Linked DNA regions of Rhinolophus ferrumequinum. The protein of the gene in region 1 interacts with the protein of each later gene in a pairwise test. Links are inferred from orthologs where the notes say so. Each region holds a gene or a part of one and is shown on either strand. Other genes may lie near its edges. The genes, in order: VIM; SIRT6; NOD2; fatty acid-binding protein, adipocyte.

The links.
Region 2: the proteins of VIM (region 1) and SIRT6 interact in a two-hybrid assay, tested with the Homo sapiens proteins (2 studies listed by BioGRID and IntAct). The link is inferred for Rhinolophus ferrumequinum from reciprocal best matches to the Homo sapiens genes VIM and SIRT6.
Region 3: the proteins of VIM (region 1) and NOD2 interact in binary tests that used the Homo sapiens proteins (3 or more experiments, as listed by UniProt). The link is inferred for Rhinolophus ferrumequinum from reciprocal best matches to the Homo sapiens genes VIM and NOD2.
Region 4: the proteins of VIM (region 1) and fatty acid-binding protein, adipocyte interact in a two-hybrid assay, tested with the Homo sapiens proteins (2 studies listed by BioGRID and IntAct). The link is inferred for Rhinolophus ferrumequinum from reciprocal best matches to the Homo sapiens genes VIM and FABP4.

Annotation. Positions count from the first base shown.
Region 1 is NW_022680355.1:3,291,817-3,298,846, forward strand, and holds the start of VIM (vimentin), read left to right. Parts: upstream 1-4,022; 5' UTR 4,023-4,159; coding exon 4,160-4,722; intron 4,723-5,388; coding exon 5,389-5,449; intron 5,450-7,030. UniProt on the Homo sapiens protein: Vimentins are class-III intermediate filaments found in various non-epithelial cells, especially mesenchymal cells. Vimentin is attached to the nucleus, endoplasmic reticulum, and mitochondria, either laterally or terminally.
Region 2 is NC_046301.1:59,431,379-59,438,457, reverse strand, and holds the start of SIRT6 (NAD-dependent protein deacylase sirtuin-6), read right to left. Parts: upstream 3,004-7,079; 5' UTR 2,952-3,003; coding exon 2,886-2,951; intron 1,955-2,885; exon of another isoform or gene 1,949-1,954; coding exon of another isoform or gene 1,934-1,948; intron 1,197-1,933; coding exon 1,069-1,196; intron 1-1,068. Other genes in the region: ANKRD24 (ankyrin repeat domain-containing protein 24), read left to right, coding at 6,162-6,197. UniProt on the Homo sapiens protein: NAD-dependent protein deacetylase, deacylase and mono-ADP-ribosyltransferase that plays an essential role in DNA damage repair, telomere maintenance, metabolic homeostasis, inflammation, tumorigenesis and aging.
Region 3 is NC_046298.1:5,222,432-5,229,724, forward strand, and holds the start of NOD2 (nucleotide-binding oligomerization domain-containing protein 2), read left to right. Parts: upstream 1-4,281; 5' UTR 4,282-4,370; intron 4,371-7,176; 5' UTR 7,177-7,293. UniProt on the Homo sapiens protein: Pattern recognition receptor (PRR) that detects bacterial peptidoglycan fragments and other danger signals and plays an important role in gastrointestinal immunity.
Region 4 is NC_046297.1:4,231,780-4,239,741, reverse strand, and holds the start of fatty acid-binding protein, adipocyte, read right to left. Parts: upstream 3,015-7,962; 5' UTR 2,931-3,014; coding exon 2,858-2,930; intron 107-2,857; coding exon 1-106.

The DNA.
Region 1 (7,030 bases):
GACATCTGAATAACATAAAACATTTCTTAATATCTGCCAGACTCCTCTGGGAATCTGCTCCTGCACAACATAATTGATAATTATCCTGTCTTTTCTCTTTTCAGTTCCTAGAACACAGTCGGGCCCTAAATAATATTTGTGAATTGAACTGGTTGACAGTAAGCAAAATCATCATGGCAAAGAGAAAAGAAAAAATGCATTTGGACTCAGTCCAAATTCTTGCTCCCTTCCTCTCTCCTACTAGTTAAAGACCGTGAGCAAATTGTTAGCCTGCATTTTAGACACTTCATGTATGCAATGGATGATCAACTCTATCTCACAGGATGTTGTGAGAGCATTAAATTAAGTCCATGCAAAGTTCAGGTCATCCAGTGGGCACAGAAAACAGGCATTTATCATAGTATTGTTATCTTTGCTTCCATACCTTTTAGGTTTGCCATGCTTTTCACCATCTCACTTAATCCACTTGCTCATTTCTAACATTCCATCCAGGCGATCCTGCTAGAAGCTGTCCTCTTGGCACGGCTACCTGCCAGCCAGCTCTCCTAAAGCTCCCACAGGCCACTGAGCTCCTCTCCTCATGGCTGGCTGGTCCGTCAGTTCTCATCACCCAATGCAACTGAAATTACTACAGCTGGCAAATTCCAAAATCACTGTCAGTACTTTAGATTTGGTGATGTTTACACCTGGCCTACAAATTGCACCTTTGTGTCCTTATTTATACACAACCTGCATCATGCAGTGTTTGAAGCAGCTTCACAGTCCAGCATTTAAAGCTACTCTGAGATAGGTATTTCACAGCAATCATAAGTAAATATGAAAACTGAAAAAGCTATGTCTATATCCTGCTTGCTTCCAAAAAGTAAGCAGGATGAGTTAATCATATTCAAGGATGTTACTTCAAACATACTGATTTCCCTCAGCGATGACTGTCATCCACTGGTCGGGGCATTGCGCTAGATAGACATTGTATAATTTACTTCCCAATGCATTTACTTCTTTCCAAAGTCTCATGCATTCTATATAAATGAGTAAAAGTGTTTTTGTAACCTTCACTTTTCTACACTCTATAGTCCACCCCAAGCTATGGCAATTTCTAATAGGAAGCACACACCAGAGACTGTGTGTGTGTGTGTGTGTGTGTGTACACGCACACACTCGCTGTATGGCCAGTGCAATGGGCTGAATGTTTGTACTCTACCCCGAAATTCCTATGTTAGAACCCTAATCTCCAAAGTGATGGTATTTGGAGGTGGGGCCTTTGAGAGGTGATGAGGTTTTAGATGTGCAGTTTAGAGTAAAGCCCCATGACGGGATTAGTGCCCTTATAAGAAAAGGGAGAGGCCAGTGTTTGCTTCCCCTGCACTTCATGTGAGGACACAGCAAGAAGGCAGCTGTCTGCAAACCAGGAAGCAGGTCCTCATCAGACACCAAATCTGTGGGCACCTTGATCTTGGACTTCCTGCCTCCAGAAGTGTGAGAAAGAAATGTGTATTCTGTGTGCCACGCCATCTGTGGTATTTTGTCATAGCAGCCTGAGCTGTGACAGCAAGTGAATACATCACAGTCCTGAAAAATCAGATTGGAGAAGGGATACCCCTGAGATGGTGAGGAGGTCCAGAGTCCATCCCAGAGGAAGTCACCACAGCCCTGAGGAATCTGCTGTGGTCACCAGCAGGGCACTGGCCACGCTGCACCAGAGCCTTGCCCTCATTTTCCATGGTGAGTCAGTCAGCAAGCGTCCCCTGATAGCAAGCGTCACCACTGCATTGCCCTGGGATCAGCATTTTAGGTGGGAGGAAGGTCCACCCTCTTTCCCCCCATATTGAGAGGACTTTTTCTCATTCTAAGGGTTCCAGGCAAACTCACAATGGTGACATTTCCTGACCAGTGGCTTAAATAAAGGGCTCTCAGAGAGCAAGATGATAACGTGGAGCATAAGCTGGTTTGCGAGGGCACTGAGCCCCAGGAATGCTCCTTGGGAGGGATACACAGCCTCCCAGTGTCAGAGAGAATAAAGGAAACCCACAGCAGGGGAGCTGTGTAGCAAAGGGTCCTGCAGCTCAACTCTGGCAGTGCACTAGGGCAGAAGTAACTGAAATGAGGTAAACAAAATATTGCCTGAAAGACGCTTGTACAAAGAAGCTAGAATAAAACCTTCAGTTGGTTCTACACTATTTTTCTTAAATGCTAGGTAACCTGCAGTACCCCTCTGCAAAAAAGAAAAAAAAATACAAGAGCCAGAAGGAGGGTTTTACTTATTCCCCCCCCCCCACCTCACCTATTCACTATAGAATCAAGATGCTTCTGTTTTTACAGAGGTTTTGGAATTAATCCTTTCAGTACTCCCTAAATTTTCTATGCACTCAAAAACAAACAAACAAACAAAAAACCCTGATTTTTTACATTGCTACTTAATTCAAAAAGACTGGCTCGCCTTCACTCTCTTCATCTCCCTTTAGAGGTAACTTTGTTCTGCATGTTTCTAATATTGCAACAATAGCCCTTGAGTGATTTACCTAGAAAGGTTTTGGTCATGGACTCTGAACACTCCCTTGGTGCTCTGGACTAAACGCTTTTTGTTCTGTAGACAGTTTTCTCTGCCCAAATTCTTCTGGAAAACAGGCCGAAAGAACCTGTGGCATTTCCCAGACACGTCACCAGAATCCTGCAGTGTGCACAGCTAAATGAACACATAAATCGATCCTCCCCCCAAACATTATGACCTTTGAGTCACATAATTGCTTTTCATTAATCAAATTGGAGTTTTAAAGCAACACTTAATTAATTCTATAATTGGCGCAGATTATACCTTTAATGACTTCCACTGTAGCACAAAAACCAGTGATCACTGAATTTGATTTTGAAACTACGGACGCTGAGTTTCCTCTTTCACCCAGAAGTTTCAGATCTTGTTCAAAGTTGGGTGTGGTTTCGTGGGGGGGGAGTGGGGGAGGCCGAGAGGAGACCCGAGGGGAGAGTGGGAAGAAACTTGGCAAGAAAAAACCCGTGTTTGGGCGGCTATCCAGGGTCTGCATATGTTTCTTGCTAAGAAGTCCGCACATTGGAGCAAAATCAGGCTTTGGCGAGTTCTTAAGAACTCCGAGGCGCTGTAGTCTCCCCTACCAGAGAACTACACACAAGAATGCGGCGGCCCGCCTCGAAGTTGGGTAAAACTTGGAAAACCAGTGCGCGCGGGGCCCGGGGAGACCTGAGTCAATCCCGTCTAACGGTTCCCGCAAACCGCTAGGAGCCCTCAACCTAGGCAGGCAGAGAGCACAGTGACTCACTGCCAGTGACTCAACGACCCCACCCCACTCCCTGGGGTCGCCGCCTCGAAGCTCACGCGGTCCAAAGCCGGACCAAGCCCGTCACGTCCCTGAACAGGAACCCTAAGGCGAAAGGGTAAAAAGAGATGCGGGCCAGAGCGATCCCTTTCCAAGCCCAACACGCGAGGCGGCACCGGGGCCCGAGCCCTGCGTCCTGGGCTGTGCGCCCCCCACCTCGCGCTCCAATCTCAGGCGCTCTTTGTTTCTGTTACCACGCCTTCCAATCTGCTGGATCCCTTACTCCCCCTCTTCCTACTCCTTTGCCGGTGCGTCTCCGCACCCACCCGCTCCCCGACCGCTCTTGTAGCCACCCGCCCCTCCCAATTGCGCGCCTCCTCCCACGCCTCTTTGGCGAGGTGCCCGGGACCCCTTTGATCCAGTCTTGGGTGCGTTCCCCCACCAACGTGCGACCCCGCCTTTTTCAGCACCCAGGGGTGAGCAGAGCTCAGGCCATCATCAGGAAAGCCCCCAAAAGTCCCTGCCCAGCCAAGAAGTAACGGGACCATGCTCAGTCGCGAGAGCCGAGGAGCAGGGAGGAGGAAGACTCCAAAGTGCCCACGCCCCAACCCCCTCCCACCCTTCCCGCTACTCGCCGGGTCCCCATTGGCTGGCGAACTCCGGATGGAGGTGGGAGGGGACCCTTTACCATCAACGTTATAAAAACTGCGCCCTCGGCGGGGTCCCGTCCTCTGCCACTCTCGCTCCAGGGTCTCCGCGCCAGAGACGCAGCAGCGTTCCCACCGCCCACACCCACCGCGCCCTTGCTCGCCTCTGCCCGGAGCCAGTCCGCGCCGCCACAGCCACCCAGCCCATTGCCACCCTCCGCAGCCATGTCCACCAGGTCCATGTCCTCGTCCTCCTACCGCAGGATGTTCGGCGGCCCCGGCACCGCCAGCCGGCCGAGCTCCAGCCGGAGCTACGTGACCTCGTCCACCCGCAGCTACAGTCTGGGCAGCGCTCTGCGCCCCAGCACCAGCCGCAGCGTCTACGCCTCGGCCCCCGGCGGTATGTACGCTACGCGCTCCTCGGCGGTCCGCCTGCGGAGCGGTGTCCCGGGCTTGCGGCTGCTGCAGGACTCGGTGGACTTCTCGCTGGCCGACGCCATCAACACCGAGTTCAAGAACACCCGCACGAACGAGAAGGTGGAGTTGCAGGAGCTGAATGACCGCTTCGCCAACTACATCGACAAGGTGCGCTTCCTGGAGCAACAGAACAAGATCCTGCTGGCCGAGCTCGAGCAGCTCAAGGGCCAGGGCAAGTCGCGACTGGGGGACCTCTACGAGGAGGAGATGCGGGAGCTGCGCCGGCAGGTGGACCAGCTCACCAACGACAAGGCCCGCGTCGAGGTGGAGCGCGACAACCTGGCCGAGGACGTTATGCGGCTCCGGGAGAAGTAAGGCGACGCCCACGCGGGGCCGCGGGAGGGAGGGAGAGGGGTTCGCGCCCCCCCCCAAGAGGAGCTGCCACGCCCTTGGGGATGTAACCGGGGCGGCGGCAGCGGGGGGTGGGGGGGGGAGGGGGGATAGCAGCGAAGCGGGGATGTGGCTGCGATGGCTCAGCCCGGCCCGGAACCCAGACTTTGCAGTTCCCCTCTACACCCACTCATTGCTTAAGAACGCCCGTTTCAGGTTGCATTTTTTTTTGAAAGTGCCAGTTGTTAGTTGAAGGCCCTTGCAAACGATGAGCGCAGTTCGTTCAAACTCTTAGAAAGTTTCCTGGCCCCTTCTGGCGGACTGCCAGCCCTGAGGCGGGGGTGGGGGGGGGTAGAAACTGTGCCGGAAGCTAGACAAAGGGGTTGCAGAGGCTTCTCGGGGACGGGGTGACGGCGTTCGCCTTGCAGGTAGGTCCCTGCGACCACCGTGATTGCTTTTCTACTCTGCGACCCAAGTCCCGCTAAAACTTGTCGAGGGTGACAGTTCCGAAAGCTGCAGTCGCTGGGTGCCCGCGGAGGTGGCGCAGCAACTATTGTCTCGCTGCACAGCGACTTGGTGGTTGGGTGTGGCCGCCCCGCCCCTGGCGGTTTCCCAGTTCCCCTCTGGTTAATGTGCAACTGTTTCAGATTGCAGGAGGAGATGCTTCAGAGAGAGGATGCCGAGGGAACCCTGCAGTCTTTCAGACAGGTTTGTAGATCCTCTTCCCATTCGCAGCCACTGGACCCCACCCAACCAACCCAAGCCACGCGCAATTCTAAAAGTTACCCCAAGTCTAAGAGTGCAAAACTTCACGTCTGTGCGCAAAGCCCCCTAGTGGCAAAAAGACCCCAGATTGGAGCTTCCTCGATAAAATCCCTAGGATGATTGTTCTTAAGGACAGAGTCTTTAACTTTTTACTTTGTTTCCAGATTTTTTCCAAAGAAATATTTTTTCCGTTTATTTCTTGCAACACATTGATAATCTGATTTACAACAGTTACAGTTTGAGTGAGATTGCTGTTTGTGAAGTCAAGTTGGCTAACTTTTTACAAAGCCACAAAAAGCGCAATTCTGCCCTGTAGTTAAAAATGTAAAACGTGTTGGAGGATAAGAAAGTTAGCTTAACTGGAACGAAGCCAGCAAGGTTTTCTCCTTTGCAAATTCTATTGTGGCATTAAAATTAGATGGAAGTATCGCTATGCACAACTATTTTGTGGTCTAATAAGTGTGAAAAGGAGCCATCTGTCCTCTGGCTGAAAGGTATTAATGGTTTCTCTGGGCTTCACTATGGAATGTAGATACAGACTCTGGCTAGTGTGATGGCTCTGGACAGAAATAATAGGAGTCTTTGTGTTCCCAGAGAAGCTTTGCAACAGGCTACATTCTTATTGAATATGTAATGATGTAAGCACAATTCTAATTGGACACAAGTATTTGCTAACATCCGTTATCTAATATCTGGCCCAGACTTGTGAAGTATGTGATGTGAAAAGTTCTTAAAGCTACAATCATGCCTCACATTTGGAAAGGTCTTAATACTTTTTAACTTCTCTCCATAAATAAAGAATAACCCCAAGGCTGAAAAATGGAATTTTAATTAAAGGGGTTTTTTGTGTTGTTTTTTTGTTTGTTTTTGCTCCAAAGTTAGATGGATTTAAAGGATTTTTTTAAACTTAAAGTTGGAATTCAAAAGCAGGAAGAGTTCCCAGCATAGCTGAATAACAATTTGAAGCAGAAATACATTTGCCAAAATAATTTAAACACAGCAATGTGTGGTCATTTTAGTCATTGGGCATTTATGATCATCATATTTGTAATGTTTTTCAGGGTAGTGAGTTAACATAAAACAGTATTAGTATAAAAGATCTGTTTAGGGATTAAGTAACATTCCTCATATTCTCTTCAATGAAGTAGAATGTCACATTATACTTTTTAAAATAGAGGCTAGCAAGTTATTTCTTACATCTTTTTTTTAGGGCTTACTAACAAGCAAAAATGAATTTTTCCAAAGCCTCATTATTTTTAAATCATCACCCATTCCTCAGTTACATTCCCATAAAGGTAGAAGAAGTATCAACATTTTAAGACGATAAGGCTATAAAACTATACTCCAAAGATAACCGCTTACAAGATCAGAGGTATAAAAATCCTTATGATATTCCCTTGAGGGGAAATAAAATCTGAGTTGTAACACAGTGGGAACTCAGAAGGAGAGCCAAAGTAGCAAGAATTCTACATATACAGTAGTTTCATTATATGCAAAAGTTTTGATCAGTCATTCTGAAACTAA
Region 2 (7,079 bases), on another chromosome or scaffold:
GCCCTCCCTCCAGGAGTGCTTCTCTTGCCAGGGGAGACAGGGGGACACAGACCCTTCCGCCCTGTGGGCTGGGATGGCCCAGTGGAGGCAGTGAGGGCTCCGTGTAGGGTCTGTGGGAAAGCTTCCTGGGAGGCTGAGCTGTCTCTTGAACTGTGAGAGGGAAGGGCACAGAAGTTCAGGCACGAGCGGTAAGCAAAAGTCTGGGAGGCTAGCAATAGCCTGTCAGTTGGGGAAATGCAAGTGGTACGGGGGCTGCAGCAGGGGCAAGAGGGGCTGAGGTTGGAGAGATGACCCAGGGCTGGGTCAGGTAAGGCTTGGAACTCTCCTGTGTGGCAATGGGGAGCCCTGGCAGGTTATGGAGGAGGGGTGGGAGAATCAAGCCTTAGAATTCTAACATTCCTCTAAAGAATCTGCTCTCTTTCTGTGGGAGCCTGGGCTGGGGGCCCAAGAGGCCTTGGAAAGAGAGTATAAATGCAACAGGTCTGTCCTTTGCGGCAGGGTTGCAAACTCAGCACCTGCAGGGGCCACCCAGGGGCCAACTGTTTGAAACCCCTGCTTTTCAGCTGTAAGACTCTTGTTACACAGGTTGCCTGAAGCAGAGAGGGGTTTAGACATTAACTGGTTTCATACCCTCATTTATGGGCGAGGAAACACGTTCAGAGGATTAAGCCACCAGGTCTGATAGAAAAATATTTTCAAGTGAGTATGGGGCTAATTGCCCCTGATATTGATTCTCCCCATCTTCTAGAGTAATAGTACCCCAATATTTAGACATTCACAGTGTGCCTAGATGAAAACTACATTTGCCAGCATCCCTTGTAGCTAGGTATGATCAGGTGACCAAGTTTTGGCCAATGGAGTGAGTGGGATGTTGGCTGAGACTTAAAGGAACAAGTCTAAAAGGGAGGGGTCTTTCCTATCCCCAACACCCAGGGGAGGAAAGACTATTCAAGATTCACTGAGGGGAAGGCAGCAGGATGTGTTCTGAGGCCCGGGCAACTGTGGCTCACAGGGAAGCCCTTGGAAGTTAACAGGTCCTGCTTCAACTTTCCCTCCACACCCACAGACCTGAAGTCGGGGATGCCCGCGGCAGTGCTGATGCCGGCACCCGTGTGGACCACCACGTTGGAGGACTGCCACACCAGCTTTGCCAGCTCCCACACCTTCCGCTCCAGCTCCTCGGGGGGGTCAAAGATCTGTGGTGTGAGAGAGCAGAGGGGAGCGGTCAAAACGTGTCCCTTAGTGGCAAGGCCACTGGCCACAGAAGAGCTGCCCCCACCTTGCCCACGGGAGGAGAGTGGATCTGAAAAGGAGGCTTATTGTCATGTCCCTCCTCTGCCCACAGCCCTCCAGGGCTCCTACCTTTCTCCGGGTAAAAGCCCAAATCCTCCCTGCAGCCTGCTGCCTAAAACACTCTTTCCTCAGACTCCCTCCGCTCACCTCCTTTAGGTCGTGGCTCAAAAGTCACCTCATTTGTACACCCAGGTTCAGAGCAGCACTATTTACAATGGCTAAAACATGGAAGCAACCCAAATCAATCAATGGATGGATAAACACAACGTGGTCCATCCATACGTTGGGAAATTATTCACTTTAGAAGGAAGGAAATTCTGACACCTGCTACAATGTGGATGAACCTTAGAACATTGTGCTGAGTGAAATAAGCCAGACACAAAAGGACAAATATTGTGTGATTCCACTTATATGAGGTCCCTAGAGTAGTCAGATCCATAAAGGCGGAAAGTAGAATGGTGGGTGCCAGGGGCTGGCGAAGAGAGAATTAAAGTTTAAATGGGACAGAGTTTCAGTTTGGGAAGATGAGAAAGTTCTGGATGGTGGGGATGGTTGCACACCCTTATTAATATACTTGATACCACTGAATGTACACTTAAAAATGGTTACGAAGTTAAATTTTATGAAAGATGTATTTTACCACAATAGAAAACATTGAAAAATGCCATCTCAGTGATGTGTCCCTGGCCACCTGGTTTCAATGCAGCCCCCAATTCTCCTCACCACTGCCAGCTTTACTTTTCTCCGTAGCTCCCATCTCACTTATATTTATTTGCTGCTGTCTGTCTCCCCACTGGAATGAGGGGTTTTTGCCTATTTTGTTTCCTGCTGTGGTCCCAGGATCTAGAAAGTGCCTGGTGGTACAGCAGGTGCTCAGTAAATGTTTGTGGAATAATGTGAATACAGGCAAGAGAGGAGTGCCTTTTCAGGAGGTTTCACACCATCTGAGAACTCCTCAACTTCCCGACTCAGGACGAACGGACTAGCTTTCAAGGGATGGGGGCAACCTTCCCCCAGCTTACAGAAGGGGAGAGGAGGCGCAGAAGGGAAGTGACAAGCCCCAAGTCTCAGTGTATGGAGGGGACTTCCTCTCGGAGTAGCTGGAGGGGTCTTTCTGACACATATTTACATCCATCCAGGTTCCTTCCCAGCTCAAAACCTGTTTCCATCACCCTCAGGATAAAGTGTCAATCTCCCAGGCTGGCATTTGGGGCCGGTCCTGACCGGGACTCTGGAAACCTCTCTGGCCTAATCTGTTCCCCCAAGTGTGTTTATTCCCACCTATCTCCCTGCCTTTGCCCCTGCAGGGCCCCCTCCGCCTAGAACTACATCCCCTCCTCCCCTATCGGAACTTCAGGACTTCCTCACGACGGTCCTTCCCTCTGTGCAAGCCTCGTGGACCCGGAGCTGGGCGTCTTCGCGTCCCCGAGTATGCTGGGGGCGTCACTTCCCGCCCCCTCCTCACTGGGAAGTCCCTCCCATTGTCTAGCCTCAGTGCCTCCTGATATTCCCACAATGCCCCGCTGCCGCCCGGCCCCGCCCGGTCCACCACCCTAGAGGGGGAGGCTTTCCGGTCCTCCCGCCGCGCTCACCTCGGGGAGGCCGCACTTGCCCTTGTCCGCGTACGGCGACAACCCCGCTGCGTAATTCACCGACATTCTCACCGCTCCAACGGGAACAATAAAGTTTCCCTTGTTGAGGCCACTTCCGCCGGAAATAGGGCTGCACGGGGAGGAACTAGGAGTCGCCGGCTCGCTCCCACCAAGGCGCATGCGCCTCACGTTGACGCCGCAGGCGCCATCTTAATTGCTGGTTAAAGAAGCCGCCTTACTTCTGCGAGTTCGCGTGAGACGGAGGGGGCTGTGACCCGGCCGAGAAGCTGGGGCAGCTGTGCGCGTGAGAGTTCTGCAGTCGCCTCTAAAAGGAGGAACACAATCCATTTTCCCTTTTTACAAATTAGTAAAGTGATGCTCCACTTCCACTCCTGCATGAGGGTAGAATCAGAGAGAAGGGACCCAGTCCTAGGTTCTTTCCGTTGCACCTTTCAGACATTTGTAAAGTTACAAGATAAGTTATAAAGTTCAGGATACCTGTGGCACGGAGCAACGTGGGGCCTCATTAGGGGAGGTCTTGGCCAACACTCTAAGTTATTTGAATATTTTTCAGGTGGATGGTAATCTCCACTCAGTAGGACAGGTCCAGACCACCAAGAGACTAGAGAAACTGCGCAAGGTCATTGGGGCTGGTGGCCTTCAGGACTCATTTAGGAAACACGTGTTGAATACCTACTGTGTGCTGAGGAGGCACTGGAAAACAAAGGTGGCACCTTGTGGCTAATTAGGGACACAACCCAGTGACTGGGCTGTCGTGACTTAGTGTGATTGGGGAGCAGTGAGGGCGCCGGGGAAATGCGGGAGCTCAAAGGAGGCACCTGACCCAGCCGGGGGCAATTCGGAAAGGATTTCTGGAGGAGAGGGTGTAGCAAAGATCTGAAGAGTGAGTAGCAGTGAGATGGGGAGAATGAGCAAGTTGGGGGTGACATGGGGTACAGAAAAAGTGTTCCTGGCAGAGGGAACAGCAAGTGTAAAGGCTGAGAGGAGAGAAAGACGGTGGCTCATTCCAGAAACTGAAATCAGTCCGGTGACGATAGGGAAGAACATCGGTGTCTTCCCGCCAGAGCCGGTTGGCCAACAGGCAGCCCCGCTGCCAACCTGTCTCCTCCCTCGGCTCATCCCCGGCCCCCTGGGGCAGCTGCCCGCTCAGAGGTGATCGGGTGTCGGAGCTGAGCGCACAGAGCTGCTGGTACGAGCTGGTGGCCCAGCTGGGAGCAGGTAACCGGAGCCAGCAGTGAACACGGTGGCCTGGTGCTGGAGTCACTGGAGCTGCAGGAGGTAGGAGAGGAAGGAAGGGAGGGAAGCCTGGGCCGGGGGCTCCCCTTAGGGTCTGAGGCTCCTTGTCCCTGAGCCCTGATATGTGGGAGCAAGGAGAAGCCCGTGTGTGTCCCAGCCACGCTGAGGAGCCTCTTAGGCGCCCTGACACACACACACAGTGGTTCGTGCACGCACCTCCCGCTTCCCAGCCTTGGCCTTGTCTAGGGTATGGACCCTGTTTTCCTGCTGCTGCTCAGTATCCTGCCGGCCTTCAGGCCCTGCTTCTATAGCATCACCTCTTCCAGGAAGCAGCTCCCTAGCTGAGGGCACTTCCCCCTCCCCCAAGCTCACAGATTCCCTCCTGCCCAGGCAACCTGTGGACTCCTCTCTTGGGTGTCTTATTACACTCTGCTCTGGGTGTGATTGAGTCCTTTAGACAGGGGCAAAGACAGGTGGGAAAGGTGGTGAGCAAAGCAGTACATTGAGTGAATGGAGTGAATTAAAGGGTGAATGAATGGATGGGCAGTAGATGGATGACTGGGTGATAGAGTGGATGGATGGATGGATAGGTGGACGGACGGGAAGGTGGATGGATGGTAAGTCGATAAGTCAGTGGAGGGTGGATGAGGATGGATGAGGGAATAGATGAGTGGGTGGGTGTTAGATATGTGGGTGAGCACATAGGTGGATGTGTAGGTGGATGGATTGATGGGCAGGTAGATAGGTGGGTGGTTAGGGGGGTGGATGGATGGATGGATAGGTGGATGGTGGGTGGTTAGGGGGCGGATGGATGGATGGATAGGTGGATGGTGGGTGGATGGTGGGTGGTGACTGAAGCATAGTTGAAGGGTGCATGAAGGACCATGAGAAAAATGAGTTGGGCAGGTGAGTTGGTGGGTGGGTATACAAGTGCTTGGATAGGGAGGTGGATGTACAAATGAGTAGATCGGTAGGTAGAAAGAAGGAAGGATGGCTTGGAGAAGTCACGGGCAGGTGGACAGGTGAAATCCTGTTCAGACACAGGAAAGAATCCCTACCCACACACCTAGCAACACATCCCTTCAAGACATCCCTGCCTGATCTCCATACCCACATGTGCATGGAACACAGAACAGGCCAAGGTGCATAGATGTGCATGCACACACACACCTCATGCTTGTGTGTGTGCACGTGCATGCACACATTTATCACCCCAGACCTCCGCCTGCCTTGGGTGACTTGTGTCTAGTCTCTCACTCACACAGAAGTCAGGCTGGTGTAAGGGATGTAGCTGCAAGGACGTTCTCTCTGACGATCCAAGAAACATACCTCTGTGCTAAGAGCCTCCGCTCTGGGCTTGGCCCCAAGGAGCCCCTAAGTATTCAGAAAGATTGAACCAGCTCAGACACCTTGAGCTTGTGGAGCCATGGCTGGGGCAGGAAAAGGGACCCAGCCAGGGCTGGGGGAACCCAATTTGGGGGGTTAGAGCTCTGCCTGCTGGTGAGAGGCAAAGTTGATCAGAGCACGGGGTTTTGGAACTAGGCTGTGTAGGATGAATAGGAGTTCACCAGAGAAGGAAAAAAGAAAGGCAGGTAGAAATTTCTAGGTAGAAATAACTGCACAGATGAAAGCTTGGAGACGAGAAAATGCTTGATCTGCTTGGGCCACAGGGAATACTAGTGAAGTGAATTATTGAGGACCTGTTAGCTGGGCCTGTGGTAGGGACCTCATGGAAAACTGACCACGAGATGGTCAAGAGGGGATTACCTTCCTCATTTTAAGGATGAGGGATGTGAAACTTAGAGAGGGCAAGTGACCTGCTGAAGGGCACACAGCAATTAGGAGATGCAGCAGGTAGGTCTCTGTCCTGCTGTAGGTGCTGGGATGGCCCAGTGAGGGGGAAGTGGTTCTTTTGAGGAGGGGGAGGTAGCCGACCCTCTGGCTCACCAGCACTGATGTCCCTCACCCCCTGCCCTTTCCCAGGTGGCCTGGGTTGCAGAGAAACACCAGACACTGGCCATGAAGACTCTCCGGGCACGATTTAAGAAGACAGAGGTGAGTGTGAGGCCACTGAGATGCCTGATGTCCCGCAACCTCAGGTTCCTGTCCTCCAGGGCCTGAATGAAGATCCACAGGCCTTGTGGGCTGTTTTCCCCCACCCATCAGATTCTTTTAGCAGCTTCCACATGACCCTCTCTGCTCAACACTCTTCCATGGTTCCTCACCACTCAAAGGTTCAAGTTTACCCCTTTAGCCTCTGGCCACCTCTCCTTCCCTTTCTCTCTACTGCCCCCTGCTGCCCCGATGTCCCCACTGCTTCCTGTTCAAGCTTTCTGGCCACCATACCTTTTCCCAGGCTGCTCCCTCTACCTGGAATGCCCTCTCCCCATATTGCTGCCTGTCATACCCTCCCCGTCCCTACCAAGTTGGCTCCAATAACGCTTCTTCCAGAAGATCTCTGCTCTCCCCAACTACAGTGACCACTTGCATTTCTGAGGACTCACTTTTTGGGGGACTCTGATCTCTTGCTTTTGTCTATTTATTCAGCACACATTTGTATCAGGCACTGTTCTAGGCACAGAACAGACATCAATGAATAGGGCAGACAGAAATCTTTGCCCTCTAGAGCTGAAAGCCTGGTGGGGGAGGTGGACGCTAAACAAGATCGATGAGAGAAAGGCATATTTTGTGTCATGGAGCAAAGAAAGCAAAGAAAGGAAATTGGAGTGTCCAGGGCAGGGGAGAGCATTGCGATTTCAAAGCGGCTTGTCAGCAAAGTCCTCGCCAGGAAGCTGATCTTAGAGCAAAGATCGTAAGGGAAAGAGAGAGGGCTTCGTGTGCTTATTTGAAGGAGTTGAATTCCAGGGGTAGGGAACAGCCAGTGCGAAGGCCCTGAGGTGGGATCGAGCTGGCTTCCCTTGCAGCTATATCTTGGAG
Region 3 (7,293 bases), on another chromosome or scaffold:
CAGTGGTACCTCGTCATGGTTTTCAGTTGCGTTTCCCTCACGACTAGTGATGCTGAGTGTCTTGTCGTGGGCTTGTTGCCATCTTTATATCCTCATTGGTGAGGTGTCTGTTCAAGTCCAGTGCTCCTTATTTGACTGGATTATTTTCTTAACGGTCTGTCGGTGTTCTTTATGTATTCTTGGGGTATATGTACCTCTCAGTCTCCTTTTCCATCTTGTGGTTTGCATTTCTACTTTCTTAATGGAGTATTTTGATGAATAGAAGCTGCCAGCTTCAAAGTATTCAACCATCTCAATGTTGTCTTTCACAGCCAGCGTCACACCTCCAGGTCCTAGGGATTTCTCCTTTATTGTTTTTTTAGCGTTACTTCTGCAACTTCACGCAGGCCATGGTGAGGCTTAAGACGAGGTAAGATGGGCAGAGCGCTTGGAGCGATGCTGGCAGACAGCAAGCACTGTACAAGTGCTGGCAATTCTGATTAATTAAAAGCCTTTCAGTTTGCTTGTCTCATCTGGGGCTGTCATGCACTGCAAGTAGGTCATTGTACATGGTGTGAGGTAGGGGTGCAAAGCTTTATCCCCCCCATGTTTACCTCCTGGTCTTCTTTATTGGAATGGCCGTCCGCTGCTGTGCAGTGTGCCATCACTGTTACAGACAGAACATCCACACACGTCAGGGTCTGTTTAGCTCAAGGGGGTGGGGGGCCCTGAAGCGTGCTGCTGGCCTGCTAGCCGGTGAGCCCCTTGAGTCCAAGGGCCTTGTCTCATTCTTCTGTGGCTGTGCTGCCCTGCAGGTGGCCTGGTGTAGTGAGGGGACATGGGCTCTGTGTGGAGCGAGGCTGGAACGCTGTCTCCCCTCCTTTCTTTGGGGCTCGCCCTGCAGCTTTCCAATTTTCTCCCTCACTCTCTGCCTGGGCCTGGAACCTTCCAGATGCCAGGGGCAGACACAGAGCCCTTTTTGGCAGCCCTCAGAACTTCTGACCCAGCCACCAGCCACCATCGGGGAGAGCGTGTGGAAGCCGCTGCTTCCTGTTCTGGGGCAAGGGACGCTCTTTGGAAAGCCCCGGACACACACGGGTGTCTGGCCTGAGAAGGAAGAACCCAGCTGGAGCAGAGTGACGGGAAGAGGCCATGTTTACGCACCTGCCCACTGCTGGCTTTTCTCTTTAGCACAGAGCTCTAGTAGGACAGGCAAGGCCTCACTGTCATTGTGGGGGGACATAGGAGTGGGCAGCCCCCCACTGTAGTGCTGGAACCACTGTAGATGGTGAAGAGGGGCCACCAAGGCGTCCTGGCGAGACAGGAAAGGAAATGCTGGCATCTCGGAGTGTCGGTGTCTCTTCTGGAATTCAAATGGCCTGGACCCTGCGGTGGCATCTCACTGCATTTGGAGCAAAGTCAGAGCCCCACCTGAGGCTCCCTGGTCTGCTGCTGGCTCCCCTCCTACCTTGTTTGGCACCCCTTCCGGCATCACTTACGCACAGCAGCCATCCAGGCTGCTTTCTGTCCTTAGACGTGCCTCACAGGCTTTGCCCTCGCAGTTCCTTCAGCCAGCAATGCCCTTCCCATGGTTCCTTCCACGGCTGACTTTTCTCATCCCCAGGGTGCAGTTTGGTTGTCTGACTCTTGAATGGCCTTCCCCGACCCGCTCTGTCAAGTCCTATCCTTGTTGTGTTTGTTTACTTGTTTATTGCAGTTCTCAAAACCGTGACGGCAGAGACTTTGTCTGTGTCAGCACTCTGCCCCCAGCACCTACTGCAGCCGTATGGTGGGTGCTCATTCATTGCTGTGTGAATGAACGAATGAATGAGTGAGTGAGTGGGGCATGCAGAGAGTGGTGATGGGGGCTGTGGCTCCAGCTCAGCCCTGACGCACTGTGTGTCCTAGACAGGCCACCACCCCTCTCTGAATTTCAATTTCCCTAACTGTAACATGAGATAAAACTAAGGATCCCCCTCACGCCATTGGGCAAGTAACCAAACCCCATGAACTACCACTGACTACTGCTCCGGGCCTCGGACGGGCTTAGGACTCCAAAACCAACACGCTATTTTTGGTCAGTTTGACAAGAATTAATCACTCACAGGTGTGCCTCCACAACGGTGCAAAGAAAACCCAAACCGGTGAGGTGTTTGTAGGAGACACAAAATCCAGCCAAGTCCATCTTACTTTTCTACCATTGAGAGTCCACACACAAGCCTTTTAAAAGTCTCAAAGGTTCTTCTACCATATGGTCCAGCAATTCCACTTCTAGGTATTTATCTAAAGAAAACGAAAACACTAACTTGAAAAGATATCATGTTCTTTTGGGTGAGAGACTGACACCAAAGACAATAAATAAGTAAATATCTAGTATGTTGTGTGCAGATAAGTGTTACGGAGAAAAATAATTAAGCAGGGAGAGGGGTGCAGGGGAGGGGGTTGCAATTAGACAGGGAATGGTCAGGGAAGGCCTCCTTGAGAAAGTCACATTTCAGCAAAGACCTGAAAGGAGGGAAGGAGGGAGCCATGGAGGTGTCTAGAGGAAGAGCATTCCAGGCAGAGGGAACAGCAGATGCAAAGGCCCAGAGGTGGTGGCAGGTCTGCCCTACTCCAGGAGCAGCCAGGAGGCCAGTGGGCTCGAGCAGACAGTGCACAACGGAGCGAGTGAGGACGGGCCCCGAGAGGGTGCTGCGTGGAAATAGCAATCGAAAGGATTTTCCTTGGCTTTGGCTCTGAGGTGGGAGTCATCGCAGGGGTTTCAGCAGAGGAGTGACCCATAATTTGACCCTTTTTTACGCAGACTCACTATGGCTGCTGCTGGAATCCTGGAGGACGGCTAGGAGCTCTTGCCAGAACCCAGGTGAGAGATGATGGAGAACGGGACCCAGGTAGTCATGGTGCATCTAGTAAGAAGTGGCTGCGTTCCACGTGTATTTTGAAGATCAAGCTGGAAAACTTACTCCCAGGTTGGATGTGAGGTATGAGAGAGAAGATGAGTGGGCTACGTTTTCCAGTGGCCCTGGCAGTTTTCTTAAGTAACCCGTGATTGTGCATTGAGAAGGTTTCCAGCTTTTCACTGTTATAAAGAAGAGGTGGTGAGCATGCCTGTGGACAGATCTGTACCCCACGTGGAATGATTTCCCTGGGCTAGTTGCAGTCCTTCTAACACAGCATTTCCCAACCCCAGCCCACTGCGTACTACTTGTGTAGGTAATTAGCTGGAGGCAGTGTGGGATGGTGGTTAGAGTATTGCCAGATGCCGGGGGGCAGATCGTGGCACTGGGGTCACTACTCGGACCGATTAACTTTTCTGTGCCTCGGTTTCTTTATCTATACATTGGGGACGATGACAGTCAATATCCCGGAGATTGGATTCACTGAGTTAATGTATGTAAAGCCTGGTCCATAGTAAGCACTATGTGAATGTCCGTTCTTTAAATTGACTTCACATTTAAAAACTACCAAGTGCAAGTGTTTTAAAAGGCACATTGATATTAATACCTTCAATGGAAGGTGTCACTTGCTCAGAAATCATACAATAAATTTAACCGAATGGAAACAAAACAGTGCTGTTAAATTCTGGTTGGATGTTACTCAGAGCCCTGTAGACTAGGCAGGCAGTGTTAGAGAGGCGTGGGAGCCCTGTTTGTATGAAACTGACGCGGCTCTCCTCAACTTAAACAGAACGATCAAAAGAAAAAGAAAAAAAAGAATTACTTTAAATGCCCGGTCTGCTCTCAGCTGACATGTAACCCATAACATTGCGGAAAAGCAGGGCTCTGGGACATCATAATAATCAGGCTTTAGATGACTTTGGGCTTACTGACCCATCAAAGGGTGTGTGGGTTATTCAGGCACCGAGAGCTTTGCTAGCTTTTCATTTCACAGGATGCCTTATGTGTATGGGTGTGTGTGTGTGTATGTGTGTGTGTGAGAGAGAGAGAGAGAGAGAGAGAGAGAGAGAGAGAGAGGGAGAGAGAGAGAGGGAGAGAGAGAGAGAGAGAGAGAGAAGGAGGGAGAGTTGAGAGTTGGGAGGGAGACTTGTCCTGAGAGACTCTCAACGTTCCCTCCAGTTGAAAGGTGGTCCAGAAAGGGGGATACACTTGGCCTGGGTCACACAGCCAGGGCCTTGCAGTCCTACAGGCAGCCCCGCCACTTCCCTGCCAGCTCTCGCTCCCATCTGAGGAGAGCTCCTAGCCGCCCGGGTGCTGCGGGAGGGCTCGCAGGACAGGAGGGACTTGGCTGGCTGGGCAGGTGGGCGGGGCCGAGAGCGGGGGCGGGATCAGGCGGGGACGGATCCCAGCGTAGGAGCCTCCCAGGCCAGGACTTAGCCGTGAGTTTTGCCTCCGACGAGGGTGCGGAGAAATCCGGGCGCCTGCGGCTCCGAGGTGAGTGCTCCAGGGCCCAGCTCGTGAGACAGCAGGCGCCGAGGAGGGTCCCACCCCCGGGACTCCTGGCTTCGGAGCTGTCCTGGCCGGTGGGCAGAGGGAGAGGCTGCCTCGGTTTTCCCTTGGCGGGGTTTCAGGGATCTAGACGGGAGGTAGACAGAAAGAGGGCATCTCGAAGTTAGGGAGCCCCCTGGAGGGCGGTGACTACAGAAGATGAGAAGGCTTGGGGGCGTTTCTGGGCCCCAGGAGCCTTTGAGGTCTGGAGAGAGGCAGTGATTTTCAGGTGGTGGGGAGTGTGGAGGGAGAGTCAGCAGGATGAGAATCCCCGAGGCACAGGGCTGACCTGGGAATGAGGAGGCCAGGCTTCAGGTCTCAGAGGGGCCTGCTCTCCGTGAGTCCCTTCCTCTCTCCGGGCCTCAGTTTCCCAATCTTACCATGCCTGTGAATAGGTGGGTGCAAGTGAGTAAGTGTCTGGATGACCTCTCACCCTTCCTGCAGCCTGTGACTCTTGGATGGCTCAGCCCCATCCCTACCAGACAGGCCCATACCCTCTGTGCCATTGGCCCTCTCCTTTGCTCCTCATGTTGGGGGCCAGCCAACTGGTCCTACTTGCTTCCCAGCACTAAACCGCCCCCCCCCCCCTGCCCCAGTCCCCTCAGAGAGGGCCTCCCACAGCCGGATCCCTGACTCTGTGTTGGCTCTGGTTTCTCACCCACTTCCTGAGCCCTTGGGCTTCTCCCTGCCATGGCCTTGGTCTCCTCATGGGTTATTCCCTGGCCACAGGGTCCTTATTCCACAGAGGGGAATAACCTGCCATGTCACCCGTCCCCTGATCCCTTGGTGAAGACCAGAGTGACATTTCCATCACCTCTGCTCTCCTGCCTCTAAGTTTGTCGGTCACTCAAGTCCCCTTTGCCAATCTGAGGCTGGAAAGGACCCCATCTCACCCACTACCTCCCACCCAGTGCAGGACCCCTCTGCTGTGTATGCTCAGTGATGCTGAACTTGTTACTTACGAGGTGCTGTTCTGTGGCCTGCAGCTCTCATTTCATCTAGCTAACATCTGTGGCTTGCAGATTCCATCCTTTCGTTCCACTTCTGCCTCCTGGAACCATGCAAAGTAAATTCATTCTTTTATTCATTCAAACACTCTTTATCAATGCACTGGGTGAGACACTGGGGATAGAGCAATAAAAAAAGTCCGGCAAAACTCCCTGCCTTCATGGAGTTCCTATTCTAGAGAGGAGTCAGACAGCAGTCAAATAAGTGAATACATGATACGTCAGGTGGTGAGAAATAAAGCAGGTGAGGAGGATGAGCATAGGCAGGCATGTCCTCTCTGAGACGGCGACAACTAAGCAAGGCCTTGAAGGAGTTTGGGGGTGGAGTTTCGGGAATATCTGGGGGGAAGGACAGTGTACCCACATAGGGACAAGCAGAAGGTCCTCAGGCAGAAGCATGACAGGCAGGAGCAGGTATGTCTTGTTCTAGGAACAAGGAGGGGGACAGTGTGGCTGGAGCAGGGTGGGTGAAGAACCAGTGTGGGACGAGTGGGAAAGAAGTACAGAGAGGTAAGGGCTGGGGGGCGGGGTCCGTTGCCTGGGCCGAGGAGGCCGCTGGGAGAGCTTGGTTTTCACTCTGAGTGCCGAGAGAACCACCGAGAGAGCCACCGGAGGGCTTTGAGCAGAGCTGTCACCTGCTCTGACTTAGGGGTTAGCAGGTTCACCTGGTTGTGGGCGGGACAATAGGCTATAGGGGGTGAGAGCAGAAGGGGGACCCGTGAGGGGACCACAGCTGTCATTCTGGGGAGAGGCCGTGAGAGCTTATACCCAGGGCGTAGAGGTGGTGAAATGTCAGATTTTCAGATTTGGGATATATTTTGAAGACCGTAGGGTGGAGAGGATTAGGGATGCAAGAGAAAGGGGGCGTCAAGGGTGACGCGGGTGGTGGGGTGGAGTCTGGCCTGAGCACCTGGAAGTTTGGAGCTGCCATCGACTGAGATGGGAGCTGTTTACGGGAAGATTTGGTTTGGTGCTTGTTAAGCAGGAGATGCCCGTTAGCACCCATGCGAAGACGGCCAGGACGCAGTTGGGAAAAGTTTAGTAGAGAGGTTGGAGCTGGAAATAAAATTTTGGATGATATCACCACATACCTGGCATTTAAAGCTATAAGAGCTGGTGAGTCCACTTAGGGAGAGAGTGATATGGAGAAAAGAAGTCCAACCAGGGAGCTCCGGGGCTCCCAGCATTAGGAACCAACCAAGGAGTCAGAAAGAGCAGCCAGGGAGATGGGAGGAAAAGTTGGAGAGTTGGGGTGTCCTGGAGGCAATGAGGAAGGTGCTTCAAGGAGGAGGGGGGCAATGAGGACAGATGCCTTTGACAGAGCAAGCAAGCTGAGGGCTGACAGTCAAGCCATGCAGAGGTCACTGGTAACTGTGACAAAAGCAATTGGGGATTAGGGAAGACAGGATTGGCAGGGCGGGGAGGAGAGGCGTTGGGGACAGCAGTACAGACAACAGACAAGGAGTCCTGCGGTGAAGGGGCAGAGAAATGGGATTGGAGCCAGAGGGAAGTGGGTGTGGAGGGAGGGCTTTACTTTTGGGGTGAAGTTACAGTCTGTTTGCGTGCTGGTGGGAAACTCTTTTAGAGAGAAGCTTGGTGAAGGGGGCCAGAATAGAGGATGGCTGCAGGGCTGGGGGGGGGTGGGGGTTGGATCCAGTGCCCCAGGGGAAGCTTGGGCCCAGCCGAGAGCCAGTGCAGTTCAGAAGCTGGGGATCCCAGGGCCTCCCTCCCTCTTCTGTCTGCAGGGGCCCAGCAGGCTGAGATTTCAACTGAAGCCTGAGCATCCGTCAGCTGCCCCAGATTCAGTGCAGTGTGTTCGGGAAGGGCCCTGCTTACTCAAAGCTCATCCTGGTGGATGAGCT
Region 4 (7,962 bases), on another chromosome or scaffold:
TTTTTAAAGGTGCTTTCTGACTTGATGGTGATTACATCTCCGTTCACAGTGATGATCATGTTTGGTTTGGCCATGCCAGCCACCTTCCGGGTGGCAAAGCCCACGCCTACGGGGGGGAGAAAACAGCGTCACATGTACAATGTTCTCTCTCACCTTTCAGGAAGAACTGTGGTGTACACACGTGTGTGTGTGCGTGTGTGTGCGCGTGTGTACGTGTGTGTATGTGTGTGTGCGTGTGTGTGTGCACGTGTGTGCGTGTGTGCATGTGTGTATGCGTGTATGTGTGTGCGTGTGTGCGTGTGTATACGTGTGTGCACGTGTGTGTACATGTGTGCACGTGTGTGCGCGTGTGTGTGCGTGTGTACGTTTGTATGTGTGTGTACGTGTGTGTACCTGTGTGTATGTATGTGTGTACGTGTGTTTTTGTGTGTTGTATGTGTGTTTGTGTAGGTGGGTGTGCGTGTGCGTTAAAGGGAAAGCCACTGGTGAGTTTTCCTTATCACCTCACTCACACAGCTCCTGCAGACAAGTAAGGCAGGCCAATATTTAAAGAAACACACAAAGCACAACTAGCTGCAGATCCATCCTTTAGATTTCCCCTTCAGGGCCTCACATGCAGCTCCTCAGGAGACCCATGGTTAATTTTAAACAAGAATATGGACAACGGTTAAGTCTTCGGGGAGGTACATATTTTTTAAAAAGTCACTGCACTCTCAAAATTCAGTGGCCAACCTCAACCATGAGGGCAGCAGCTGTCCTTTTACTCAATTCACGAAATATTTGGGGCACCCTAACTTATTTTTCTTAGAATAAAAAAATGTGATCTAATCCACAGTCAAAGACAGAATTCTCAGTAGGATTTGGAGGCCAATATAGAGTGACCCGGTGTAAAAAAAAAATCATCTGTTTAGGTGTACAAAAATCACATTTTTGTAGCATTTGCTGCCCAGTCTCATTTACTTGGCTTTTCCAGATTATGCCATGATGAAATGAAGACTTTGTTGAATTTCTGCAAAGGCAAATGTTTCTTACATTCACAGAATTTTAGAATGGGGATATTACTCCGAATAACTTATAGGAAAGGTTAAAGGGTCTAGGAATCAATTGTGAAAACTTCAAAACTTAAGAAATCACCATTTTAGTAAGTTTAGAAGTCAATACTTTGATTGTCAACCACCTAAGTTCAAACTCCTCTTTTTCTTGAAGAGGAATATATTTTTCTCTGGAAAGGTATGGGGTGAACAATTTACAATATACAGCAGTAACTTGCTCTCAAGGTATAGGTTCTACAGAATTTACGACTGTCATAGATGTGTTGGATTTTTTAAAAAACACACGTATATAAATCTAAGCTACTTTTTTGACTAAAAGCTACTTACAGTTACCAGATATAGATATAGAAGAGAAACACTGTACAAAACAAATGATGCCGAGGCTCTGATTTCGCCCCCTGTCTGAGAAGTGGCCACAAGTGGGAAGATAATATGTAGCTTCAAGTCCTGGCTCTGTTACAAAATGTAACATCAGATGCATGGAGTGAGTCAGCATAGAGATGGATGCAATGTCAAGTGCGATACCAGAGTGGACCACCTTGGACATCACATTCTCCACTTGCTTGATTCCTTCCTTATTTGACTGCTGAAGGCCATACCTGCTTAGGGTTCATTAATTACAGCATCTAATTTCAGGAGGCATCTTATGTTTTTCCTTATCTTCAGTCATTTAGAATTTTAAAATGCAGTGGTACAAGAATCTAACTGTCAATATTGAAAGTGTAAAGCATTTCTGAAAGTCAATCGCTAAATCGCCTCAGATCCTGGCCTTTCTATGTCAGCACACATTCGGTCCCAGAACCACAACTAGTTGACATTCTAGAAAGTTAGGTCTCACTCGTGCTGAGGTCCCTGGTTTCCCTTTTGTCTATAAACAAGAAAAATAGTGGTTACACACAAGCAAAAATATGCTACATGACTTAGGGGAAAGTTAAGTCTTGCGATTTAGGGCTTAAATCATATCCCCTAATAAAGATATTGTGAAAAAGCTCCTTTCTGATTCGCTCCCCTTGGTCATGCATGGGGGTTGTGAGGAGAGGAGCTTTCAAGGTACAAGGTGCCTGAGTGAGAATCTGCCTTCCTACACCCTTGCTTTTCCCCCGTAATTATCTGGGGAACAATTTTAGATTCAGCAACGTTAGCAGAATCTAAAACCCTGGAAGCCTCCATTATCAGAGAGGGGGTGTGTCACATATGTAACATTCTCCTTTTAAATCACTCAGTGATTCTATAGCATCCCACGTAATTTCTAGTCAAAGAAGTATTTAAGCCCTTTAAGGAACAAGTTCTCTGAAATTAAGATTTTTTTTTTGTCTCCCATACCACAACCACACATTTTTAATCCATTGACATTAAGACAATAAAATAATTAGTTGGCATATGTTTACCGAAAAAATTTACATTAACGATGAGAAGCATAATGCTTTCCATTTCAAATGGAAATTATTGCATACTAGGAAATAAATACTGCATATTTTATATGCAAGAGGGAATGAAAGAAAAGCAGACAAAGAGCCAAGTAAACCCAAGATACCCAAGTTTAGCAGTCCAATAAAATCTTGTCATTGCTATACACCATAAAAATTCCATTTAGACCCTTTTTCGTAATCATTCACCTGTACTTGTGACTTTGGTCAAGAAAGTTTCTACAAACAAATGATTCTTACTTGCTATTTTTAGAACCTCTGTATAGAAAGCAGCATTTCATATCTGGCCGGTGCTTCCAGTGTGAAAAACAGCTATAAGCCCCTTTTGCCCCCAGAGAAACAGTCATAGATCCAGCTCCCCACAAAGCATTTTCTTACCCACTTCTTTCATGTAATCATCAAAGTTTTCACTGGAGACAAGTTTCCAGGTACCTACAAATGCATCACACATTTTGTGGGCTCTCTAGGATGATTCTTCAAGGTGGGAAAGAAGCTGCAGCTTTCAAAAAGGTGCTTTGCCGTCTTCAGGCCAAATAACTGCCTTTTAAAGGTGCCCAAAACACGTGATCTGAGCAATGACCAATTGGGAATGACATCAGACCATTTCCTTCATTTCCAGCCTCTGCATTTTTTCCTCTGAGTCATGTTTATAATAGAAATCTCTCAACTTTGGTTCTCCCTGGCAAATGGTCATTGGACATAGATGACAAATTATTTTTAACTATGAACAGAATATTTGAAACATTCCTGTTTTGATGGTTTGAGACTCAGTGCAGTGAATTTCCCCCTATTATTTTCATACATATTTACCCCAGTGTAAAGGAGGATAATTATCTTAAGACGAACTTTGATCCCTTTTTCTGGACTTTCTATTACAATTACAGTTCTGTGGTTATTTTAAACAGAGAAATGTATGACTTATCTTGGAGATCCTTAAGTAATTGCAGAGGCTCTTTTGGACAGCCCTGTCTCAGGAATTACCTGGCAATTAAAACAAAATAACTAATGGCATTTTAAAGTACCCCAGGTTTCTCATTTAAAATGTTTTGCATGAATAAAGAAGGAAAAGTAAATTCAATTAATCCACCAGGCATCCGGACTGTAGATTTCATTGATAAGTAATAATTTAACCTCACTCTTCCAAACCCTCGATGAGAGCATAGATACTTGATTTCCACAAACTCCTTAAAAAATAGGACCCTATCCAAAATATGCTCCTTATACTGAGAAAATTTATTCATTTCCTAAATTATATTCTGAGCTCTAAATTTATCCAGAACTAAAAGGGGCCACTTTACTTGAAAACAATCACAAGTGATCCGGTCACAAACTATCAAAATCTTATTTCCTGCTTTTCCATAGTGAATAATTCTTGAGATTACTTTTCTAAAGAAACCATGGTTTTCGGTTCGCACCCCCTCCATTCCAGAATGATCAAAATGTTCCCATGTGCAAACTCCCGTGAACATACCCAGATTGTAGGAAAGAAAAACGGCAGTGTCGTGGAAGGATGGATGCGTGCTGTGTGTCCCACGGCACCATATCTGCTGAGTGTACCGTCGGCTGGCAGACCCAGAACTTCCCAGAATGTTTGGGGCAGAGGATACAATAGTAATCTTTAATCGTTGCATTTGTTAATGGCACAGTGACACATGCATCCATTCTGGTCTGCTGCACAGATACAAGACCTGTGGGTGATGTACCACCCCAGGAAGGCTTGCGATGATAAATTCCTCTGTTTCCTGTTGAACAGGAAATAAAAATGGCCAATCTTCATACGGGGATAACTCTGACAACGTTCTAAATTAATAATGGTTTACTTTTTTGTTTTGTTGTTTTGTTTTGTTTTGTTAAGGCTATTTTTTGAGAGAGGTTTTAGATTTACAATGAAATTGAGAAGAAGGTCCAGAGATTTCCGATTCATCGCCTGCCCCTCAACCACACGTGCACAGCTTCCCTCATTATCAGCGTCGCTCAGAACGGTACTTTTACCAAGAACGAACCTACATGGACACATCAGAGTCACGCAAAGTCTATAGCTTACCCTAGGATTCCCCCTTGGTGTTGTACGCTCTGTGTTTTTGGACATTTTGTGTATAATGACATGGATCCATAATTATAGTGACATACAGAGTGGTGTCACTGCCCTCAAAACCTCTGTGCTCTGCCTGTTCACCTCCCTCCCACCTCTCAAACACGCCCGCTCCTCACCCAGGCAAACACTTATTTTTACTGTCCCCATAGTTGTGCCTTTTCCAGAGTGTCATAGAGTTGGAATCATACAGCGTGTGGCCTTTTCAGATTGACTTCTCTCACTTAGTCACATGCATTTAATGTTCTTTCCTGTCTTTTCATGGCTTCACAGCTCATTTAGGTTTAGTGCTGAATAATATCCCACTGTCTGGATGGACCACAGTTTATCCGTCACCTACTAAAGGGCATCTTCATTGTGTCCAAGTTCTGGCGATTATGACTAGAGCTGCTATAAACATCCATGTGGACATGGGTTTTCAACTCTTTTGGGTGAATACTGAGGAGCATGATATGGTAAGAGTATGCTTAGTTTTGTTAGAAACCACCAAACGGTCCTCCAGAGGGGCTGCACCGTTTGATTCCCACCAGCACTGAATTCCTGTGGCTCCATGTGCTCCCGGCATTTGGTGGTGTCAGTGTCTGGATTTGGGCCATTCTCACAGGTGTGCAGTGGTGTCTCACTGTCATTTCAGTTTGCATTTCCCTGATGACATGTGATATGGAGCATCTTTTCATGTGCTTATTTGCCATCTTTTTATCTTCTTTGGTGAGGTGTCTGTGAAGGTCTTTAAGCCCATTTTTTGATCGAATTTGTTTTCCTATTATTGAGGTTTTCTCAATTAAAGTATATTTGACATATACCATTGTACGAATTTAAGGTACAACGTGTTAATTTGATACATTTATGTATTATAATATGATTGCCACCGTAGCAATAATTAGCACCTCTACAATGATGATAATTATTATATAATTATCCTTTCTTAGCAGTTGGAATAATTAAGTTCTAGTCTCTTAGAAAGTTTGATGATCATAACACAATAGTGTTTTCTATATTCCCCATACTGTGTAGTAGGTTTCTAGGGCTTATCGTGACTCTATTTTTGAGTTTAAAATTCTAGATGGGGTGGTCCAGGAAGGTCGGTCAAAGGAGGTGCATAATTGAGTGATGACAAGAAAACAGCCCCGGAAGGATCAGAAAAGAGTATCCAGACACAGGGCACAGCAGGAGTTGTCGGTTCATTTCCTGTTCATAACAATTTCACCCAAACTCGACTCCAACAGTAAATCATGACAGATGTACACACACACACACACAATACATACATACTTGTATGTATACACACATACATAATACATACATACATACACACACACATACATGTAAACAAACGTGTGTTCCTGCTGAGCAGAGTCCAAGGTCCATTAAGGCAGGGGTTTGCCTCTAGATAGTTCACTGATGGATAGCAAGTAATCAAGTATTCAATAAAACGCATGGAGGGAATCCTAATTAGGTGGGTTGGGGGGGGGTCTACCAACACCCCTGTAACATTCTGCAAGACTATGTTTGCAGATCAGTAGCCTCCTGTTTTTATGTCAGCATATTTACTACCTGATCATTGTTGGAGAAATGCCATAGTTGAGATTTTCTACAAACAACCACAGGCGTGTGAACGATTTTAGGTAAATGAGAATAACCGTGACAATAGGAAAGGGCCTTGGTAACTTATTATAAATAGCAATGAAAGCACCATGATATGAAAGGGTAGTCGAGTCCCCTTGAAGAAATGTCGTGTGATCAGTTGTGTGGAGGAACAAAAATAGGCTAACCAGAGAGTTACTTACTCAAAGGGACGTTAGAAGCAGCTCGATTTTGTTCCAAACACATGGGTCATCCTATGAAATGCTCACGCCTTCTCCGTGCACAAGTCCACTAAGTATCACGTAGGGAGAGAATTTTTTCTAGACAATAGCTGTCCAGAAATTCAGCACAAAGGCCCGCACCTCTTATTTCATGCATCAGCTTTGCAGTCCAACTGGGAATGCAAGCTACTGCCTAGATCCTCCATAAATTATCCTCATTTCAATTCCTAAGACTTCATCCCACTGCTCGGATAAGAGAGAATGTTCCCTCATCAAATAACCATCTTTCACCACAGTGTCAGTGGGCTGGTATGCGAATAAGGTGGAACATGATAAGAAAAGTCACAATAAGGAAAAAATACTTCAATGTTAGACGACCTTGGTTTCAACATTCTGAAGAATATCCTTCCTACATATTAACGAAGAGAATTCAGACTTTAGTGCTCATCCTTTCTTGAAAACCAGTAGAAATGGCATTATGCGCATACATTTTCAAACCCAATTTCATTGTAGAAAGCTCACACTGGCAAATAATCTTCATAAAATCTTTTTTGCAAACTTACTGTACGTCCAAGGCACTGTGCTAGGTGCAGCGAGGGAATATAATAAAAAGTAACGTGTGATTTCTGTCTCTTCTTAATGATGCAAGTTCTTGTCTAGTGACCAGCTTGGGGCCAGAATAAAATACAAAGCCTTTTCACATGTTTTATTTTGACAGTCATCTTAACATACGTATTTCCTTTTTTTTTCCCCCTACAAGGGCACTTGCTGCTCTCCTAATTTTTTTTCACACTTTTGGTATCTTTTATTAACATAAAATGTATGAAGGATAAGAGATACCTTTCTCCCAATTTCCCGTCACTCCTGACCTCCGTTCTCCATCTTGAACTTTATCCCATCCATGGCTTAAAATTCTTAGCACCTCATTTCCCCCAATTTTCACTGGATTAATGCATTAATTCACGGAAGGAATGACATATGGGTTTTGGGGACATAATCATGCTTGATGCTCGTGTATGAGTTTTACGCGAACACTGCCACAACACAAATCCGAGTGTGACAAAAATGGAGTGCCACAAGGAATGGTGGATGATAAAGGGTAGAGCAAGCAGATGTCAATTCTTTTACAAGGCACGAGTTAAGAGAGGGTGAGAGGCTGAGCAAAGAGAATGGCTGTGAGCGATGGGAAAGCGGGAAAGAAATTAGGCCACGGTATAGGAAGGGTATGGACAGCTCCTTTCTTCACGTGGAACCTGGTCCCCTAAACAAGGTACATCTTGCCACAGGGGTAACTACACTTTTGGTCACAGGGAGTCAAATACAGCATGAAAATGCACATGCAGGCCGGCCTCTTTCCCCAGAGCTGTGGGGAAGGGGGCTTCAGAGGCTAGAGTCTCGCTTTGCTTTGGCAACGTGGAGAATGGAGACGTGGCTCCAAACCCTGGGAGAGGCTCGCTCGGGTCCCGGCCACCGCCTTGCTCTTTGCTCCACTGCAGACAGACGCCATGGAATGCGTCCCCTGACCTCTGCATGTGTTTATTTCTTTTGGAGGAAATGGAGGTATTTTTCTAACAATTTTTTAAGTT